Arabidopsis thaliana: one gene and its partners. The protein of the gene in region 1 interacts with the protein of each later gene in a pairwise test. Each region holds a gene or a part of one and is shown in the gene's direction. Other genes may lie near its edges.

Region 1 (5,371 bases):
GGATGATAAGCAGAGAATCAGCGCAGAACAACACTGTGTAGCAAGAGACATAGTGAACATGATAGCATGTGAGGAGTCAGAGAGAGTAGAGAGACACGAGGTACTGGGGATATGGAGGGTCAGAATGATGATGGCTGGGTTCACGGGTTGGCCGGTCAGCACATCTGCAGCGTTTGCAGCGAGTGAGATGCTGAAAGCTTATGACAAAAACTACAAACTGGGAGGCCATGAAGGAGCGCTCTACCTCTTCTGGAAGAGACGACCCATGGCTACATGTTCCGTGTGGAAGCCAAACCCAAACTAGATTGGGTAAGTTATAGTGATGATGGTTACTTGAGTGGATAAAGAAGAGCACAACAAAAACACATCTGTCGCTGTAAATTTTTTAGGATGTGCAATGATGTTTTAAGTTGTAACACAACCTAAGTTATATATGTATACAAACCAAACCTGGTGGTTGTTTTTCTCTTGTAAATTGTCATGTGGTTGTGGGTGGGTTGCTAGTAATGAAATATAACCAAAACATTGATTAGGTCATTTTATGATCTTCTTCTATATATACCGGTATAAGTCAACTGGCGGCTGAACAAAGGTCGTGAGGTAACAAAATATGAGACAAATCTACAGGTCAGATTGGGTTCTGAATTCTGATAAGGTCTTAAAAAGGAGCTCACCAACCCACAAAACCATGGATTGAACAAGTACAGGTCATTGCCTTCATTTTATTCTTTACTTTTCTAAGGCTCAAGCTTCCTTTATTGCCTTTAATAACAATATACTAATGAGTATTTTGCACTCAGTAACAAAATTCAGGAGAGTAATTTTTTGCCCTAACATGTTACTTTTATGTGTTAAGAGTTTAGAATTTTGGATCTATGATTTTAGTTTTTGTTAGGGAATCATATTCATATAAATAAAATATTGCCATTGACTTAATTGTTGTTATTCACCTAATTTCTCTCCAAATTTGGTCATTTACCTCAGTTGATTCTATATTATACTTGCTAAGTGTTCTTTGTCTAATTCTCTATCATTGTTTGATTTAATAATAACCAAACCTTAAGACTTGGAAGCAAAGAAGAGAGAAAATCCCAATTAATTTTTAATAATTCAAAGAGAGATATTGAGTGACTTCCACTAATACAAAGAAAGCTTGGTTTGTGCAATATTTTGCGGTTAAGCTATTAATTGCTGAGGCAACACCTTTTCACACTTTGCTTTCCTTCTTCCAAGTTTTCAACTTTTCTTTCTTACTCTTTCTATTAATCAAACTGCAACACAAAAATCATTTGGATAATACATGTTTAGAAGATGATTAAGCTTTAGTTTTATTTCAAGATTATCATAATTGTTATCTGTTGTTACCTACATTCATATAATCTTATCAAAAACGATAAAGACAAAAAGGGGATACAATATAGGTTTTTATTATAAAGAAACAGGAAAGAAAGAAAAGGGTTTTCACCAAACGAAATTAGTTCAATCATTTAAATTATCTTTATCCTTATGATTAGTGTCTTTATATCTGTCATATGCTGCTTCTCCTTCCAACTTCCTTTGGATTATATTCTCTTCTCTTTATTTTAATTTCCATTTGTGGTAGCTGTTTTATTTTTTGTATTTTCACGCCGTGTCCCTTTAAAATAATATTAACTACACCACTAATGTTGGAACATGAAAAACATGAATGAGGTAATTATGATGATGAACCAAATGTTAAGGACAAGCTCGGTGTAACTAAGAAGATAATTAGTGAAACAGAACAAGTCAATAACTTGTAAGCATTTCAGAATTGAAAATAAAGATAAGGGAGGATGAATATGAATTTAGTAAATGGGTAATGAAAGTGAAAGAAGAAGAGGGAAGGGTTGGTTACTGTCTCAAGGGTTTGAAATGGAGACGGTTGCTTGAGAATGAGGAAAAAGAGTTAGTAAGTTTTTAACTCTCTCTTTCTCTCTCCCTCTCTCTTTTTCAACGTCAATTCCTTTAAGGAATGGCCTCTCTCTCTCTCTGAAAGTGTGTGTGTATATATTAAACGACTCCATTTCTCCTCTGCTTAGACCAAAACTCATCTTCTATACTGCAACAAAGAAGGAGGAGCCGTTGAGACTACAAAATGACTGCAGCAGAAAACCCTTTTGTATCTGACACCTCTTCTCTGCAAAGCCAGCTTAAAGGTTCTTATTTTTCTTTCTGTTTATTGTTCATCAACCCTTATGAGTAATTTGCTTGATGTTGAGGTTGTTCTGCTTTCTTTTAATTCCACTCTGCAGAAAAAGAGAAAGAGCTTTTGGCTGCTAAAGCTGAAGTTGAGGCTTTGAGAACAAATGAAGAGCTCAAAGACAGAGTCTTTAAGGAGGTAACATGCATGATGATCATCAACTCTGTTTGTGATTGTTCTACAAAAACTTTAAGTCAATCTTACCTATAAGTTTTTTTGATCAATGTTTTCCATATTCAAACTGTCCTTTTTGAGCTTCTTGAGCTCTATTGATGCTACTTGGTGTTGTTTCAGCTTAGAGAAAACGTGAGGAAGTTGGAGGAGAAACTTGGAGCCACCGAGAATCAAGTTGACCAAAAGGTGAGGTTTTGCTCAAATACTATAGACCATCTTTGTGAAGGACTCATGTCAAAACATTAGAAATGACTAGAATAAGTTAAGCTTGTGACATGATTGTAGGAGTTGGAGAGGAAGAAGCTAGAAGAAGAGAAGGAAGATGCATTGGCGGCACAGGACGCTGCAGAAGAAGCACTAAGGAGGGTTTACACTCACCAACAGGACGATGACTCTCTACCCCTAGAATCCATCATAGCTCCTCTTGAATCTCAGATCAAGATTCACAAGCATGAGGTTCTTAAGACTATATGTATTTCAAATTTCTTTCTTGTATCAGTGTGAAGTGCCAGATTTTCTTGACATGCTACTGTTTGACAGATTTCTGCACTTCAAGAGGACAAGAAAGCGTTGGAACGTCTAACAAAATCAAAAGAATCGGCGCTTCTTGAAGCAGAGAGAATCTTGAGAAGTGCCCTTGAACGTGCTTTGATTGTTGAAGAGGTCCAGAACCATAACTTTGAACTTCGACGACAGATTGAGATATGCCAGGATGAGAACAAGTTTCTTGAGAAAATTAACCGCCAGAAAGTGTTGGAGATTGAGAAGCTCTCCCAAAGCATTGTAGAACTGGAGGAAGCGATCTTGGCAGGAGGAACAGCCGCCAATGCAGTTCGAGACTATCGCCGCCAAATCTCCCAGCTCAATGCAAGTGTTCTGTTTAGTTTCTTGTACTTCATTCTCACATTTGTTTTAAAGGAAAATCACATGATTTTTTCATCGTTACCAGGATGAGAAGAGAACCTTAGAGAGAGAGCTAGCCAGAGTCAAAGTGTCAGCAAGTAGAGTGGCACTTGCAGTTGCTAACGAGTGGAAAGATGAGAACGATAGAGTCATGCCTGTAAAGCAATGGCTTGAAGAGAGAAGGATTCTCCATGTACTCACTGCTTTTCACTTACACATCCAGTTAATACACACTGACTAGCTTATATGGGAAACATTAGTGTTGAACTTTGTGTCTGTGTGCAGGGAGAAATGCAGAAATTGAAAGATAAACTCGCTGTTTCCGAGAGAACCGCTAAGGCTGAGTCCCAGCTAAAGGTGATTGCTTATGTAGTTAATATTCTGTTGGTAAAAAGTGTAGTTTCTAATGCAAGTAAACATTATAGGAGAGGTTAAAGCTTAGGCTGAAAACCATAGAAGATGGCTTGAAGGGCCCAAACACGTTTTTCGTCTCTCCAACTACAAAGACTGAAAAATCTGGCAAGATTTTAGGATTCTTGACCAGTGGTGGTGGCTCAAAGAAAAGGTCTAGTTCTCAGCTAAGAGGCTCAGTTACAGGCAGAATCCATGCTATGAATCAGCCAATTGACAGAGTTGGGGAAAGTGATGAAATGGAGAATTCAAAGATTACTGCAAACGGATTGACTGATCAACATGAAGAAGATAGCGAAAGGAAAACAGAGGAAGATGGAAATGTTTATTCTGAAGATATGGTTTCAGGGTTTTTATATGACAGGCTTCAGAAGGAAGTGATTGCTTTAAGGAAGCTATGTGAGAGTAAAGAGGGTACTATAAATGCCAAAAATGAAGAAATCAAGGTAACTTCATCATCTTCTTGTGGTTGTTTAAGATCCTCAACTATATGAAACCTCTTAAGATACCTCTGTTTTTAGATGTTGTTGAAGAAGGTGGATGCTCTAACGAAAGCCATTGAAGTTGAGACAAAGAAGGCAAAGAGGGAAGCCGCAGCGAGAGAAAAGGAAAACGCATTGGCAATGTTGAATGAAGAGTCAAAACTATGTAGAAAGGCAAAACTACCGAGAAGGTTTGGTCATCACATCCTTTGTTGTTTGTCTTTGTCTTTTGAGAAGTATACATAGTCAAACATCAAGACAGTTGATATTTATATGTTTATGCTATGTTGTGCAGCCGCATACCCAATCCACGTTGCCAGTAGAGGAAGAAGAAGCTTATGGGATTGAATACTAAAGAATATGGTCTAATGTTAGGTTGTACTGTACATATTGAGTATTGGATGATGGATTATAAGAAAGTGAAAACTAAAGATCAAGAGATGTGTATGTGTGTTATGTATATCGGATTGCAAAGCCATGTTTCCAGATGATGACACAAAACTCCTCTCTCTTCTCCTACCAATTAGTTGAATGTTAGCAATTATCTTGGAAACCTATAAGTAAATCAGAATCAGCTAAACACAAAAACATGCATATTCTCTCTCAAAGTCATACATAACCATATATGTCTTCTCTCAGATTTTTTGGTCTTGCCTTGGTTGTTAGGCTAACATAACAAACTTTGCATCTAATATATATATCATAATCAGTTACAGGATCGTATGATCTCTGTAGTAGCAAGAAGATCCAAGCTTGAAGAAAACATAAATTTTATTATATACAAGAAGAGCATGAAGAACAAGATTTACAAAGACTATCTCTCTTTCTCACAAGAAGTGAGAAGGAACCATATAGAAATAAAGTCAGGACTGATCTTTCCTAGCAAGATTAATTTACAGTCTCTTTTACATGGTGCTCTCTTGTAAGGTGATATTTCCAGCTGTATAGACACGAGAGCCGTTGGAAGAGGAGAGGAGTTGAATACCTCTGTGAATCTTGGAAGAGCATCGATACGGTTTAGGGACAGAGAGTGTTTTAATGATACAAGCCTTGTCTAAGTCAGGAATCGCGTGGAGGTGAGAAGGAAGATCGATGACGAATTGCCCCAACTCATTTGTCACAGCTTTGATCCATTTAGATCTCCTCCTATGTCCAGTATGGCACTTGAAGCCAATAGTAG
Region 2 (5,353 bases), on another chromosome or scaffold:
CCTTGCTAAGGAAGTAAGCAAAGAGGATAAATTGATGTTTGTGGATCAAGTTATGGAGTTAGTGGAGTTGGTGGATCTGAGAGATGCAATTGTTGGTTTACCGGGGGTCACAGGGCTTTCCACGGAACAGAGAAAGAGATTAACAATCGCTGTTGAGCTTGTAGCTAACCCTTCAATCATCTTCATGGACGAGCCAACTTCAGGGTTGGATGCTAGAGCAGCTGCTATTGTTATGAGAGCTGTGAGAAACACAGTGGACACAGGGAGAACTGTTGTGTGCACCATCCACCAACCGAGCATTGATATCTTTGAGGCCTTTGACGAACTACTACTAATGAAGAGAGGAGGACATGTGATCTACTCTGGTCCCTTAGGCCGAAACTCTCACAAGGTTGTTGAGTACTTTGAATCCTTCCCTGGAGTGCCAAAGATTCCGGAAAAATACAACCCGGCCACTTGGATGCTGGAAGCTAGCTCCCTTGCGGCCGAGTTAAAGCTTGGAGTTGACTTTGCTGAGCTATATAAGGCTTCAGCCTTATGCCAGTAAGTGAACACAACAAAAATATATTTGCTAATGATGTGATGATGATACTTGATCTAACTAATTAACATATGAATGGTTCTGTCTCAGGCGGAACAAGGCGCTGGTGCAAGAACTAAGCGTGCCTCCCCAAGGAGCGACTGATCTCTACTTTGCCACACAGTTTTCACAGAACACATGGGGACAATTCAAATCATGTCTATGGAAGCAGTGGTGGACTTATTGGAGATCTCCTGACTACAACCTTGTCAGGTTCATCTTCACATTGGCAACATCTCTCATGATCGGCTCTGTCTTCTGGCAAATCGGAGGTAAGAGATCAAACGTACAAGATCTAACGATGGTGATCGGAGCAATCTACGCAGCAGTTGTATTCGTTGGTATAAACAACTGCTCAACAGTACAACCAATGGTGGCAGTGGAAAGAACAGTGTTCTACAGAGAAAAAGCTGCTGGGATGTACTCAGCTATACCTTATGCTATCTCCCAGGTGACTTGTGAACTACCTTATGTCTTGATTCAGACCACGTACTATTCTCTTATCATCTACTCTATGGTTGGATTCGAGTGGAAAGCTTCCAAGTTCTTGTGGTTTATCTTCATCAATTACTTCTCCTTCCTCTACTGGACCTACTACGGCATGATGACAGTTTCCCTCACACCTAACCAACAAGTAGCTTCTATCTTTGCATCAGCCTTTTATGGTATCTTTAACCTCTTCTCTGGATTTTTCATCCCTAGACCCAAAATTCCAAAGTGGTGGGTTTGGTATTACTGGATCTGCCCTGTTGCTTGGACCATATACGGTTTGATCACTTCTCAATACGGTGACGTTGAGACTCCCATCGCTCTCCTTGGTGGTGCACCTGGCCTCACTGTTAAACAGTACATTAAAGATCAATATGGTTTTGAATCAGACTACATGGGACCTGTGGCCGGAGTACTAGTTGGCTTCACTGTCTTTTTTGCCTTCATCTTCGCATTTTGCATCAAGACTCTCAACTTCCAGTCTAGATAACCACTATACACTCTGTTTTCTTGTGAAACATTTCTTGCAATAAAGCTTTGCTTCCTCTTTTTTTCTTTTCTTCTCTTAATGTGAGTTTATTTTTGTTGTAATGTAAAAATTATTCATCAAGAAGAACCTATTTAGAAATAAAAGTTGCAACTCAAAAACAGAGAAGAAGTAGTACTTTGAATGTTATAATGAAACTTTTTTTAGAAAAATCGCTTCCACACACGTGATTTCGATTTCATGCAACCTAGGTTTTTCTTCCACATTATATTTTCTTATCTTATATTTTTTTGATTTAAACTCAAATATTGAAAGAAAAAATTTCATATAAGAAACATTTATAGAATTTCAGAAAATTTGCATTAAAATTAAATTTTATATCAATTAATAACTAAGATTTTTGGTTTCTTCTCATAGTGGCTTTTGTGAAGTTATGTTGGACGGATAGTGAAGTAAAAGCCTTTTAAAGCCCATAAACAAAAAGATTTGGTTTCTTCTTCTAAGGGTTTCGAGCAAAATTTCTGAGCAACGGCGACGATGGGAGACACCGCCTTGGAGAAGACAGCGGAAGAGCTACGGCATGAGATCGATGAGCTTCACCGTCAACAGCGTGAGGTACTATCTCCACCTCAATCTCATTCTCACTTTACAAATCTCTGTTGACGGCGATTGTTTAATTCTCTATCCTGTTCAGATTACGGAGAGGCTTCGTGACCCTCGTGGACTCCGCCGTGGAGGCTTCTCAAACGTCGCTCCTCGCAACCAAGGCCGTAGAGGCTTTCCTCGACCTGTAAGTCTTCTCTATCTCTCCTTTGAGATGAAACAGATTGCGGTAATTGATTATTGGATATTGTGTGTTTTTGAAGGCGGAGAGGAATGACGTAGAAGACGAGCCTCCTGCTAAAAGGAGATTGTCTTCCGCCGTTGTTAAGGTAATTTGTGTTCGGAAAGTAATTGCATTCTCATTGATAGATCGAACGAAGTGGTTACTTAACTTTAACGGGATACTTTAGGTCGACGGTGAAGATGTTAGTAAAGATGGAGAATTTCCAGTTGATGGTAATGGAACCCAGGTTAAAGTTGGTGAGAATGGGACTTCTGATCAAAGTGACAAGAAGCAATCTGGTCTTCATCGTGGAAGTTGGTCCCAGAGAGATGCAGAACAACGACGGACCAATAAGGTAAATCAAATTCCTCCCATAAATCCTTTTTATGAGAACGAAGCGACTGTTTACTCAGTGGTTGTTGTTATTTTGCTCTTATCAGCGTTACGAAGCTTTTGCATTGCCGGAGCCTGCACCAAGGGTTTTACCTAAGAATGAGGATCCTAAACTGGTTAATAGGAACAGAAGAATGCTAGGGAATCTTCTAGGGACTTTGGAGGTATTTGCTGAGATTCACATGAACCTCTTGTCTCATGGATTAGCTTGATTCATGTTCAGTTAGATTTTTCATTCTTTATTCAATTTATTGTATTCTCACTTCTCACTCTTTATTTTTGCAGAAGTTCAGAAAAGAAGATAAGCAGCGTTCTGGAACAGATGCATACGCCCGACGAACTGCAGCTCTACAAAGGGTAAGCACACACCATATTCACTTGGAGATATTTTATGAAGCTTGTTACTGTTTTTTTAAGGGAAACGCCATATTTTTGTACTTGAATTGATAATCTTCATCTTCCTTCAGTTTCTTTTGTACATTTTTGTACTTTAAACTAAGACAGCATTTTCCTTCAGTTTCTTTTGGCTTAAGTAGCGTTGTAGGGAAGCCTAAATCTCTCTAGATATGGGTGTCTATATTGGAATTGGGTATAGGTATAGGTATCATTATATGTCCAGTTAGGAGTGCGTTTATTCCTTAGCATCATCTTTAGTACTACAATGCATTAGCAGTGTTTGTTCATTGTATCCCTCCTACTCTTATAGGCGGAGGAAAAGGCTCGTGAAGAAAGTGAACGACTGAGGCTGCAGGAGCGTGAAAATTTGACTGAAAAGAGGAGAAGAGATCTTGTAAGTGGCCAGCTTAAGTTTTTTTCTCTTTGCATACCATTCCAAATGGCAGTCTTGTGTAGTAAAGATCTGATATACTCAATTTAACTGGTCAATCAGACTCTTCGGGCTCGTGTTGCTGCTAAAGCAGAACAAAAGAAATTGGAATTGCTTTTCCTTCAATGGAGTGAGCACCAAAAGAAACTTAGCAATTTTATAAGGTAGTGTTGACATGCTGTTACTGCGTGTGATTTAGTTCTATAGCGTACCCTTACTTACTCTGCATGATGAGTCTCAGTGATGAGATTGCTAACTGCTATGTATTTCATTTGCAGGTTATTTTTTATTTCGGTCCAAAAAGTGTGCATATTGACAATTTTATAGAGGCAAAGATAAGTTTCCATTCACGTGCATACAAAGGCAATGTTTGGTGCTATAGGTAGAAATTGGTAGCTGATATAAAGGTTTCTGTCAAAACTTATTTAATTTGATTTGCATGTGGACGGGTGTTTCAGGACTAAAGCAGAGCCACGGATATACTATGCACCAGTGAAGCCTTTGGAAGAAGATACAAGTGAGGTAGAACAACAGAAAGAGCGGGTAAGGTGTTGTAGTTTGTAAATGAAGAAAGTTTTGACATGCATGCTATGGGATATTTGATGTGACTGGTTTTGTGTTGATGCAGACATTCTTAGAATGGAAGGCAGCAAGGAGACAAGAAGTGAGTGAGTATCAAAAGGAGATAGAAGAGCAGTGTCTGGGTAATGTTGAGAAAGAGCTGGAGAGGTGGCAAAACGCAAGGAAGGCAAGGAAAGCAAACAACGAGGGTATGAATTTGCAGGAAACGATGGACAAGGAATTAGAGACTCATAGGATGGAGCATGGGCCAAAGAAGAGAAAGATACCTGGAGGAGGAGTAGGAGATGAAGATGAAGAAGATGAAGTAGAGGATATCAATGGTGGAGAGGATGAAATGATAATGGATGATTTACTGGAGGAGGGAGGAGATGGAACCATCAAGGAGGAAGTGGCAACTGATACAGTTAAAGCAGAAGCAGTGGAGGAAGATATTAAACATGAGGTTCTCTAAGTCATATAGTTTGTTTGTTCTTGAAATTTGGTGGAGTTTGCGAGTTAGAAAACTGGTCAAATCTATTTTGGAGCGTTGTAACGTGAATTATGGTAATTTCTAGGAAAGATTTGCCTTTGTGCTATATAATTTGTTTTGTTTATCTGCTAGTGTAGTAGCCTCAGCTTTCATGCATCGGCTACTGCCGCTTGCTCGACAGATGTCTCTTCACTGGCATATTCATTGAAAGATTGTATTTGGTATAAGTCGGTTAAATTCGGTTCAGAATCAATCTGCATTAAGAAATTCCGGAGGTTACATTTCAAATTTCACTACAAAAGGAAGGACTCTTTTTGCAAAAAAAGAAAAACAAAGGACTCTTTTGACCAAAAAAAGAAGAAGAAAGGACTCTTTTGACTTTACAAAGAGTCAAAGACACGTGCTAGGTGTTTTACAGAGATTTCGACACGTGTACATCAAAAGCCGTTATTCCTCCCATCTAACGGACCTCCTTCATCGCCTACGATGAAATCTTCTTCTCCTTCTCCCCACGACGGCGATGGTGAAACTTCCTCAACACTCGGCGATTCTGCTGGTGAAAGATCCATAAAGGCGAAGTAAGGCTCTGGTGCCGGTGAAAATCTTGAACCTAAAAACCATGGTGACTTTGCCAGTGCCGTCGAATCTTCCACGAGACGATTGGGGGATGAAGGAGCAGTGAGGGGAAGAAGATCGGCGAG
Region 3 (5,334 bases), on another chromosome or scaffold:
TGCAAGACCGCTGGCTACGAACTTTATTAGTTAGATACAACAAATTTATCAATTATCAATCTTAAAAGATAGCTAAAGAAAACGTTACTATGGGCCCTTTTTCTTTCTTTAATTCTTTCATATGGAATCTATTATTAATTAAAGACATGTATTAAAGAATTTCAGGTGTAAAAGAATAGTTTTTTGCTTTGAGGTGTCTATCTTTATTTATAATCGGAAATTTTCAAGTAAAAAGAAATAGACTCTCCAAAGCATAGGTAGAATAATTGAATATTCTTATCAATTAAATCGTCTATAGTAGCCAATTATGATTGCAATCGTTGTGCGAATATAACCAGCATGGTATATATCACAAGTTTTTAGTTAGTGAATTTTTTAGTTATTTCAAGAGCTTGTTCTGTAGAATAAACCAAAAACTAAAAGAAAATCCATTCTATTCAATACCATAACTTCATGTGTTCACGAAACATCATGGGAACACAGTAAATAGAAAAACAAAATCAATTTATAACTATATATGAATGTTGTCAAATGGGAGTTGACCTCCAATATTATCTTTTATACATTTGAAACTTTAATTTTGACTTTTTTTTAGTAAGATAGTTTTTGTTCATGTCCTGAATGTTAGGTAACAGCTAGCGATTTGAAATAGAAATAAACATTTACAAACCATGTAGTGGTCCAAACCATTGACTCAATTAAAGAGTCAACGCATAATCGAATTTGTAATCTGTGAAGAAGAAGACTCGAATGGTATTGAACTTGATTTGATTTGATTCGTTTTGTGAATCGTATCCCGTTAGTCATTGGATTGTGCAGAGAAAACAAATATTGAAGCAACCTCTAATTAAGTCTACAAAGAAATAGGACACCACAACAAAGGTTGACTTTTACAGAATCACAAAGCCAAAACGATAATCTAGAAAGTAGAGAAACTAGACAGCACAAAACGATAAAAGACCGAGTCTGTCGACCATTACCTTAGTTTTTTTTCATATCGTTAAAAAATAATGTGATATACATGTACGTTAATACTTAATATATACTATTTGACTTGAGATAGCCCTACAAAACTTTTATTCATTTATTTCTCACAAGTTCCCTAAAACTTTATGAACCAATTTGAAGATTAATATTTTGTTACGTTGCTATCAATTTCAAATTCTTTGTAGGTGCTATATTTGAAAACTGGTTTCATACCTAAAAAGGTTATGAACCAAAGACTCAACTTGTCTGGTTATAAATAAAAGTGATTGAAAACACTCACACGGCTAGTGAATTCTCATTAGAAAAATGAAAAGTTCGTTAAATTCGACCAGTGATATAAATATATATACGAAAAACATATGATCATTATGCTTTTTGTCAGGTCCTAGAAATAAATATGTGGAACCCAATTCATTTCAACATTCACGGTAATTTAATTTCCCTTGGCAACATTTAGTCATTTACCGGAATATTCAAACTTCGAATGTTAGGAAATATTTAAGAAGGTAATGGTAAAAAGTAAGAAAAAAAGGACTGGGATCAATAAATGAGAAAAATGGAAGTAGTAGTGGGGCTAAAATTTCTCTATCCAAAATAAATGAAACAGGCGCCGACATTAACAACACCATTCCATTTATAACTCTTTATCCAAATTTTTATTTAGCTGAACCCAATTTACTCTTTCTCTTATCTTCCTCTACTTAATTCTTCTAACAAAGCTCTGTTGCAGATGCTTTCTTTAGAAAAAAATTGGGCCAATATTGTTTATTGAAAAGATCAACAACAGACTGGGTTTTGTTTAAGAAAGAATAGTGATTAGAGAACGAGTCGTTGATGTTCTAATTGACTTGCAAGAATGAAAAAAGATACCAAAAAATTCCTCAAAGAGATATTAAAAAGAAAAAACTTTTTAGACACGGAAAAAGAGAGACTTTTCTCAGAGGAAAAAAACAAGAAAAGAGAGAAACCATAGTAAAAAAAAAAAAAAAACTGTCTGTCCAACGATTTGTTTTTGTTTTTTTGTCTCTGTTCTCTCAATTCTTCTTCTTCTTCTTCTACTTCGCCCCCACGACAAGAAATTCTCCTCTCTATTTCTATCTCATTCTTTCTCTCTCTCTCTATAAAATCTTCAACTTCTGGGTTTATTCTTCCACAATCCCTCGAGTTATAATAACTCTCTGCAAAGAGTTTTACTTTGATTCTTCTGTGGAGGATCTTACACAATTTTCATGGCTTCTTGAATCATGTAATCTTTTCCTTCTCGCCATTTTTCATCTCTACCCGGATCCGTAACCAGCTCTCAGACCAGACCCGGGTTATACCATTTCTCCTCCTTAAAAGTCACACCGCGTTGACCTTCTTCCTCTGGTCTCCTCTCCCATTTTCTTTTAAAGAACTTCACAAAGTTTCAATCTTTTACTTTGGTTCCTCTCTCTCTCTCTGTTTATTAGGGTTCTGGGTTCTGTTGATGATGATTCTCTAACTAATGAGGTAGAGTTATAACCCAAAAATAACAAAAGTAGAGTTAAGTCTTTGAAATTTGGTACCAACAATGGCGAGCCAGACGGGTCAGAAAATTCGGTTGGTGAGGTGTCCCAAGTGCTTGAAGATTCTACAGGAAGACGAAGATGTTCCTGTTTATCAGTGCGGTGGTTGTTCCGCCATTCTTCAAGGTAACTTTCTTTCCATTTCGATTTTGCCTCTGATTATAATGTGAACTCTGTCCCTGAATCTGGCTTTGTTCTACTCCTGGTTGTCCATCTGTTTGGATGTCTGAGCTCAAACCAGTTGTGTTTTGTGGCATGATCTCTTTCATTATTAAATTTGGTTGTTGCTTCTTTGATTCAGCGAAAAGGCGGAACATTGCTCCAAGCAGTACACCAAGTGCAGGAGAGACAGAGAGGGCTCAAGCCAATGAGCCGCAAAGCGTACCTGAAACCAACAATGTGTCCAGCAGCTCGGGGCAGGACACGGTTCTGCCGTCATCTCCAGGTCGTTCCGTGGACCAAGAGTATGAGAAAGGTAGGAATGCATCCATGGAGTCTACGGAGAAGGAGCTTGATGACTTAGAGTTATCTAATGGAGATGGGACAAATGAAATTCAAGAGCAGGAATGTTCACTTGGTGATTCTGAGAAGAATGAAAGAGAAGACAACTCCAGATTGGAGTCTCATATGATGAACACCGTAGCAGAAGCTGCAGGATCTGGATCTAGCTCTGGAAGCTTGAGCGTTGATCATGTGGTGGCTGCAAGAGCGAGTAATCCATCCGGTAACTCTGAGATTTCACCGGATGCTTCCCCCGTAGAAGAGAAGCAAAGCCAACTTGACATTCTTGCAAACAAGACTCCTTCTGCTTATGATGTGGTGGCTGCAAGAGCGAGTAATTCATCTGGCAATGCTGAGATCTCACCTGATGCTTCCCCTGTTGAAGAGAAGCAAAGCCAACTTGATTATCCTGCAAACAAGACTTCTTCTGCTTATGATGGGAGTGAGTCTTCCTCTGACGAAAGGGAAGGCCAACTTCTCGATGATGACGAACAATGGAATGCTCTTCAGAAAATAAGATCAGGCAAATTTGAGATGCATAGATACCCTGGGTATAAGGAGCAAGGCGCTAGTTCCTCCTCCCCTTTCTCTGAGAATAGGCGCAATGGGATTACCACATACAACGAGCGGCATCAGAACAGGTCTCTACAGCTAGAGGGACCAGGAGGGCGCCTTGGCAGACAAGGGAGGAGACATGTGACAGAACAACTTCGGCCTGACATGCCTTTCTATCCGAGAGAATCATACACACGTGGAAGCCCTTCCCATCCGTCACATGATGAGTTTGATCGCTATCCCCGTGCACACTCACTTCAAATGCCTTCATACGCTGGAGGCATGAACCACGATTTTGTTGACTATATGTATCACAACAACCCAAGGGCAAGAGGTCAGGGCCAAGGAAGTAGGATCTCAGGTGAAATGGGAAGAAACCATGGCGGTTGGTATTCAGGTCAGCTTCATAATTCTTACAGTTCATATTCTGCAAGTCCACAGAGACCAATGGAACAACCTGAGTATCATCCGAGATGGAGGCGTGAGATAGTCTCAGACGTGGAGGATCATCAGCGTAATAGACATGCTGGCCACCACCATGAGTTACAGACCCGTCGTCTAAGAGAGAGACAACGTGTGGCCAAGCGTCATGTCCGTCCAACAGCTGGTGGGGCACCTTTTGTTAGCTGTTACAGTTGCTCAGAAAACCTGCAGCTTCCTGTAGACTTTCTCATTTTCAAGAGGAAACATCATCTTCTCAGATGCGGCACTTGCACCACTGTTCTCAGATTCTCACTTCAGTCCAGAAATCATTTAGTTCCTGCAGTAACACATGACATAAATGCTAATAGGAATAGCAATTCAACATCAGAGTCTCCCATAGACAAAGCTCCCTCCAAACCTGAAAAGCTGAGATCCTCTGTTCAGGATGAGGAGCTACCTGTGGCTAGAGGCTCTCCGCTTCACCGACTAATGGGATATTCTACTGTAAGCCAAGTCTTTAAAGTTTCACAGCGTCCTCCTTCTATATAGATCTCTGCTTCAGATGAAGCAACGAGAACTATGAACTTCTGAGAATCTGAGATGGAAAGTTTTGCCATTGTTTGCCATTCTTTATTTCACTTCTGTGTATAGGTAAAAGATTTGTCTCTGCACTTTTGTTTAAAGTAGAAACCATGACACTTGTGAAAAATTATACAAAAAAATAGAAGAAGATATAGTTCATCTGTTGTATATAGTCATGATATGTTTGTAACAAGATTGAATTCATCATCGTTCTTGGCTTGATAATCTACTATAACATTACCACTTGTAAATAAATAAAAAGTTTGAATAGGTTTAGTGAAGTATATTTGCATAAACTTAGTTGAAGCTGTCCTTGTATCCATTCGTCCTCTTGTTGGACGCGATAGAGATCCGCTGATCCTGCAGCATGTTCAGGTTTGGGGCTAATAGTCTTGTGTATCGATCGAAGTACAGAAGTTGCTTCAACAGAAGTGCAAACTCTCTCGGGAACTTAAGACCATATGATTCGCTAACACGCACCTATAAGAAAGTGAACTTATTTTCAACTGCTGAAAGCTCAAATCCTGGGGTTTATCTTAACTCAATGCAACTTCTATATCCTCTTAACAACTTTCAAACCAAAAAAAAATCCTTAAGAAATTACGTCTAACTGCTTACCAGGTCGAGGAAAAGAGCATTCATCTGTCTCTCATCCATAACTACGTTAGCAGCAACAGCAGTAGTGTCTGAATTTGTTCCACGAGCTGTAGCCACTACTATCTCTGTATCTAGTTCCTGC
Region 4 (4,425 bases), on another chromosome or scaffold:
GAGAAACGGTTTGTTTCATCAAAATGGCCATCAAGAAGAAGCCTATGAAGGAGATTTGACACTAATAAATGGAAATATGTAAAATGTGTGCATGTCCCATTTACAACTTCTTCTTTTTTTCCTACAATGTCATCAACATTATGAGGCTTCTAATCAATTTCATAATCCTAATATATTACCTTTTCATACATCTTGATGGCTGGTGTGTTGGAAGCTCTTACAAAAAGATCCACAAAGTAGGCTTTATCACTGCAATCAATAACCACAAGTATAATAATCATTAGAAGACCAGAAATTACCAGATAATATATAAAATCAATGAGGAGAAATTCAAGATTTTCTTCCTTTGAAACAATCTAAATATATCGGTTTTCAAATAAATAAATGGTCCACTCGAAAGCCAATATCAATATATTAAGGCTTTCATATTTTATATCATAACGATCCATATCAAAGAGAACACTAAAACTTGAGATGCTTTGTAATTGTTAAGTCTTACATCTTATCACTTATATCTTCCAGAAGGTTCATCAGTTTCTTTGCAAGTTGCTGCCTGCGGTATTCTGGAGAGACAGTGACGGCTGTCACATGACCATGCCAAGATTCACCCTGTCCTTCAACTTTACCCATAACTGAAACCATGTAGAATCTTAGTTAGACACATGCTTTTAAAATTATATTTATAAGAACAAGTTTTACATATGTCACTTACGTTGGATTCTCAAGAATATCAACCATAACATTTCAACTATACAAAAGAACATTTCAGTGACACTGCTTAATTTTCAAATGTGTTAATATCCAAAAGCTTAGTTTTACTCTCAGTTCTTTCAATGGTTTCACTATACTTCCAAGGTCTCTTTCCAAACTATACCACGAAAAGGGAGAAAAACAGGTATAGTAATAGGGCACCACGAGAACAGAACGTCAATAATGAAGCATATATCGTACTTGAAGAAAATAAAGAAAGATAAAGCCTTGTATAAATCACATTTCGAACCAATCCAATAAGGTATAGCATCATTATACTACAAACACTGAAAGACAGAAAAATTTGAGCCTTGATATAACTCATAACTCATTCTCTGGACATTTAGAAGTTAGCACAAACAATCTTAAGCCATGCTTCCTATGCATCTTCTACCCCATATCAAGATTTCTAAAACCGCTAACTACAGAGACTAGGACTAATACAAGCAGAATTTGTTTAAACACTTATACATCCTGGTTTGTGTTAATCAGTTTTCAAACAGAGTCACTCTTCCTGGTTTTAACAACATTCAAGCTATCTCCATCTGATAACCAAAAAAAATCAATAGTGGCTTTTACACTAACAGTTTATCATCTAAGTTTCAACCCTAAAAGTAAACATAATCTCCACGAATTTCAAATTCCTAAACCAACGAAGACATAAAGAAATCAAAACGAAGAGAACAAGAGGATTACTTACTATAACCCATGACACGATTGCCGGGACCTTCAGCAACATGAAAATAGTCAGGCCATCTCGCTAAATAGGTCATGTAGAAGGACATATTGAACTGTTTCACGAAACAAAATTCGAACAAAAATCAACAAAATCGCCATAGCAAAACAAAGCAATAATCAGACGAAACCAGATAATAAGAAGAAGAAACACGAGATTACTGTTTCAGTGAGGTGGTCCAGATTCACGGAAGTGAATCGGAGAAGGTCATTGCAGCTGAATCTACGTATCGTCGTCATCTCTTCTTTTTCTCAAATCCCTTCGAGCTTCGTCAGATTCTCTGGAAAAAGAAAGAGGAGACAACAACAAAGCAATATACATGGCCCAGTTAGAAAATTAATAAAGCCCATTTATATTTGGGCCTATAACACTGATGACGTCATGTAAAAGATGATCAAATTTCATTATCTCCCGTCGTCGCGACCTTCTCAGACAACAGAACCAAATCCTCGGCGGCGATTGAAGAAACCTTTCCGATGGATCTGCTCAGGGAAGAGATTCTGAAGAAACGTAAGAGTCTAGCTGAGGAATCTGGTGGTAAGAAGTTCTTCAAGCGGTCTGAGATCGAGCAGAAGAAAATCCAGAAGCTTCGAGAGGAAGAACGACGCGAGCACGAGCTTAAGGCTCAGCGGAGAGCCGCCGCCGCCGCTTCCGGTGGAGATGGAAAATCATCCGGCTCTGCTCCTGGTTCTTCTAACGCAGCTACGTCTGCGTCTTCCAAATCCTCTGCATCGGACGCTGCTGCTATCGCCGATTCAAAAGCCCTAACCGACGAAAACCTAATTCTCCCGAGGCAGGAAGTGATTCGTCGTTTGAGATTCCTTAAGCAGCCGATGACTCTCTTCGGAGAAGATGATCAATCGCGGCTCGATCGACTCAAGTACGTTTTGAAGGAAGGATTGTTCGAGGTTGATAGTGATATGACTGAAGGACAGACGAATGATTTCTTGCGTGACATCGCAGAGCTTAAGAAGAGGCAGAAGAGTGGTATGATGGGAGATAGGAAGAGGAAGAGTAGAGATGAGAGAGGAAGAGACGAAGGTGATAGAGGTGAAACAAGGGAAGATGAACTTAGTGGTGGTGAATCGAGTGATGTTGATGCTGATAAAGATATGAAACGTTTGAAAGCTAACTTTGAGGATCTATGCGATGAGGATAAGATCCTTGTGTTTTATAAGAAGCTGTTGATTGAATGGAAACAGGAGCTTGATGCGATGGAGAACACTGAGAGGAGAACTGCAAAAGGGAAACAGATGGTAGCCACTTTTAAGCAGTGTGCTAGGTATCTAGTTCCTCTCTTCAACTTATGCAGGAAGAAGGTAAAGATTCTTGCTTTCGATTGTTAATTAGGTGTAAATCATTGTTTGGCAAGAAAATTGTTAGGGAGATTATCTCTGTTTATGAAATTGGAGATAGATTATCTCAGTTCTATCTAATAAGCTTAGAGAACTATGTTTATTAAGCATAGTTTGGGTAGGAAGACCAATGTGCAGTGTTTAGGTTCCATTAGTTTGTGTACTTTTGATTATATGGCGACAAGGACGAGTTTTCTAATAAGTTCTAGTGCTAGGTAGACAATGAGAACGTAGAATAGCAAGTTGGAATCTGTATGCACCTTGAATTTGCCATTGAGGCCTCTGTTAGTTATCTCCATTTAGCTGAAGAAAAATAGGCTGGAATGTTGAATGCAGAAAAAGTTTCTCTCTTTCTGTCTTTGTCTTATAAGTGTTAAGAATGTATACTTTCTTACACTGAAATTTTATGAGGTTTCGTGAACTTGATCTTTCTAGTTATGGCTTAAAATTGCAGGGTTTACCAGCTGACATTCGTCAAGCTTTAATGGTGATGGTTAACCACTGCATAAAGCGAGACTACCTTGCTGCAATGGACCACTACATCAAACTAGCTATCGGGAACGCGCCATGGCCTATTGGAGTGACTATGGTTGGTATTCACGAACGTTCAGCTCGAGAGAAGATTTACACCAACAGTGTTGCTCACATCATGAACGATGAAACCACTCGCAAGTATCTTCAGTCAGTTAAAAGACTGATGACTTTCTGTCAAAGACGTTATCCAACTATGCCTTCTAAAGCCGTTGAGTTCAATAGCTTAGCCAACGGAAGCGACTTACAGTCTTTGCTAGCCGAAGAGAGATTCTTTGGTGGTAATCGTGAACAGGTCTCAGAGGAGAGACTCCGGCTCATGCCTTCTCAGAGCGAAAGCTAGTCTTACTGTGTTTTCTGCTTTGTTGTGTTTTTATTTTTGTATCAAAACGTTGACTCTGTATTATCGTCTATTTAAAACGTTGACCTGATTGTCTAGTCTTATGTGGCATGTGGGAAACATATCCAAACTCATAAAACGACATGGCCTAAAGATCTAGTAAGGGTAAGAGGAGAATCGAATCTTGGAACCTTATTGGTCCAAATGGTATGATCACCTTATCCCAAAATGTTCGATTCTCATCTACCCTCTCGTTGTCAGATTCTATTAAGCCATTTCATCTCTATCCATTTACTCCACAGAGAAAGATTCAGAGAAAACAGAAGAAACTATGGCAACTCAAGCCGCCGGAATCTTCAGCCCCGCCATAACAACCACTACTTCCGCCGTCAAGAAACTCCACCTCTTCTCATCAAGCCACCGTCCCAAGTCTCTCTCCTTCACCAAAACCGCCATCCGCGCCGAGAAAACAGAGTCCTCCTCTGCTGCCCCAGCCGTGAAAGAAGCTCCAGTTGGATTCACTCCCCCGCAGCTAGACCCAAACACACCATCACCAATCTTCGCCGGAAGCACAGGAGGTCTCCTCCGTAAAGCACAAGTAGAGGAATTTTACGTGATCACATGGAACTCACCGAAAGAACAAATCTTTGAGATGCCAACAGGAGGAGCTGCGATAATGAGAGAAGGACCGAATCTATTGAAACTGGCGAGGA

The links.
Region 2: the proteins of MAP70-5 (region 1) and AT1G15200 interact in a two-hybrid assay, tested with the Arabidopsis thaliana proteins (one large-scale study listed by BioGRID).
Region 3: the proteins of MAP70-5 (region 1) and AT5G05190 interact in a two-hybrid assay, tested with the Arabidopsis thaliana proteins (one large-scale study listed by BioGRID).
Region 4: the proteins of MAP70-5 (region 1) and AT1G03140 interact in a two-hybrid assay, tested with the Arabidopsis thaliana proteins (one large-scale study listed by BioGRID).

Annotation. Positions count from the first base shown.
Region 1 is NC_003075.7:9,656,151-9,661,521, reverse strand, and holds MAP70-5 (microtubule-associated proteins 70-5), read left to right. Parts: upstream 1-1,945; 5' UTR 1,946-2,116; coding exon 2,117-2,177; intron 2,178-2,273; coding exon 2,274-2,359; intron 2,360-2,515; coding exon 2,516-2,581; intron 2,582-2,680; coding exon 2,681-2,851; intron 2,852-2,935; coding exon 2,936-3,262; intron 3,263-3,344; coding exon 3,345-3,491; intron 3,492-3,583; coding exon 3,584-3,655; intron 3,656-3,723; coding exon 3,724-4,155; intron 4,156-4,230; coding exon 4,231-4,382; intron 4,383-4,486; coding exon 4,487-4,514; 3' UTR 4,515-4,870; downstream 4,871-5,371. Other genes in the region: SCL13 (SCARECROW-like 13), read left to right, coding at 1-304; AT4G17215 (Pollen Ole e 1 allergen and extensin family protein), read right to left, coding at 5,097-5,371. UniProt on the Arabidopsis thaliana protein: Plant-specific protein that interact with microtubules and regulates microtubule dynamics. May play a role in anisotropic cell expansion and organ growth.
Region 2 is NC_003070.9:5,227,758-5,233,110, reverse strand, and holds AT1G15200 (protein-protein interaction regulator family protein), read left to right. Parts: upstream 1-1,926; 5' UTR 1,927-2,093; coding exon 2,094-2,171; intron 2,172-2,250; coding exon 2,251-2,346; intron 2,347-2,422; coding exon 2,423-2,488; intron 2,489-2,569; coding exon 2,570-2,737; intron 2,738-2,822; coding exon 2,823-2,939; intron 2,940-3,060; coding exon 3,061-3,132; intron 3,133-3,481; coding exon 3,482-3,565; intron 3,566-3,664; coding exon 3,665-3,765; intron 3,766-3,842; coding exon 3,843-3,983; intron 3,984-4,059; coding exon 4,060-4,144; intron 4,145-4,229; coding exon 4,230-4,634; 3' UTR 4,635-4,811; downstream 4,812-5,353. Other genes in the region: ABCG35 (pleiotropic drug resistance 7), read left to right, coding at 1-543, 632-1,559; AT1G15190 (Fasciclin-like arabinogalactan family protein), read right to left, coding at 5,090-5,353.
Region 3 is NC_003076.8:1,539,314-1,544,647, forward strand, and holds AT5G05190 (hypothetical protein (DUF3133)), read left to right. Parts: upstream 1-1,904; 5' UTR 1,905-2,539; coding exon 2,540-2,660; intron 2,661-2,835; coding exon 2,836-4,562; 3' UTR 4,563-4,824; downstream 4,825-5,334. Other genes in the region: AT5G05200 (Protein kinase superfamily protein), read right to left, coding at 4,893-5,075, 5,214-5,330. UniProt on the Arabidopsis thaliana protein: Plays a negative role in salicylic acid (SA)-mediated resistance to powdery mildew (e.g. Golovinomyces cichoracearum). May modulate plant immunity by regulating the relocation of EDR1 by interacting with CHC2 and modulating endocytosis.
Region 4 is NC_003070.9:753,761-758,185, reverse strand, and holds AT1G03140 (splicing factor Prp18 family protein), read left to right. Parts: upstream 1-1,882; 5' UTR 1,883-1,962; coding exon 1,963-2,805; intron 2,806-3,295; coding exon 3,296-3,715; 3' UTR 3,716-3,925; downstream 3,926-4,425. Other genes in the region: AT1G03150 (Acyl-CoA N-acyltransferases (NAT) superfamily protein), read right to left, coding at 180-249, 500-632, 1,451-1,541, 1,648-1,725; PSAD-2 (photosystem I subunit D-2), read left to right, coding at 4,044-4,425.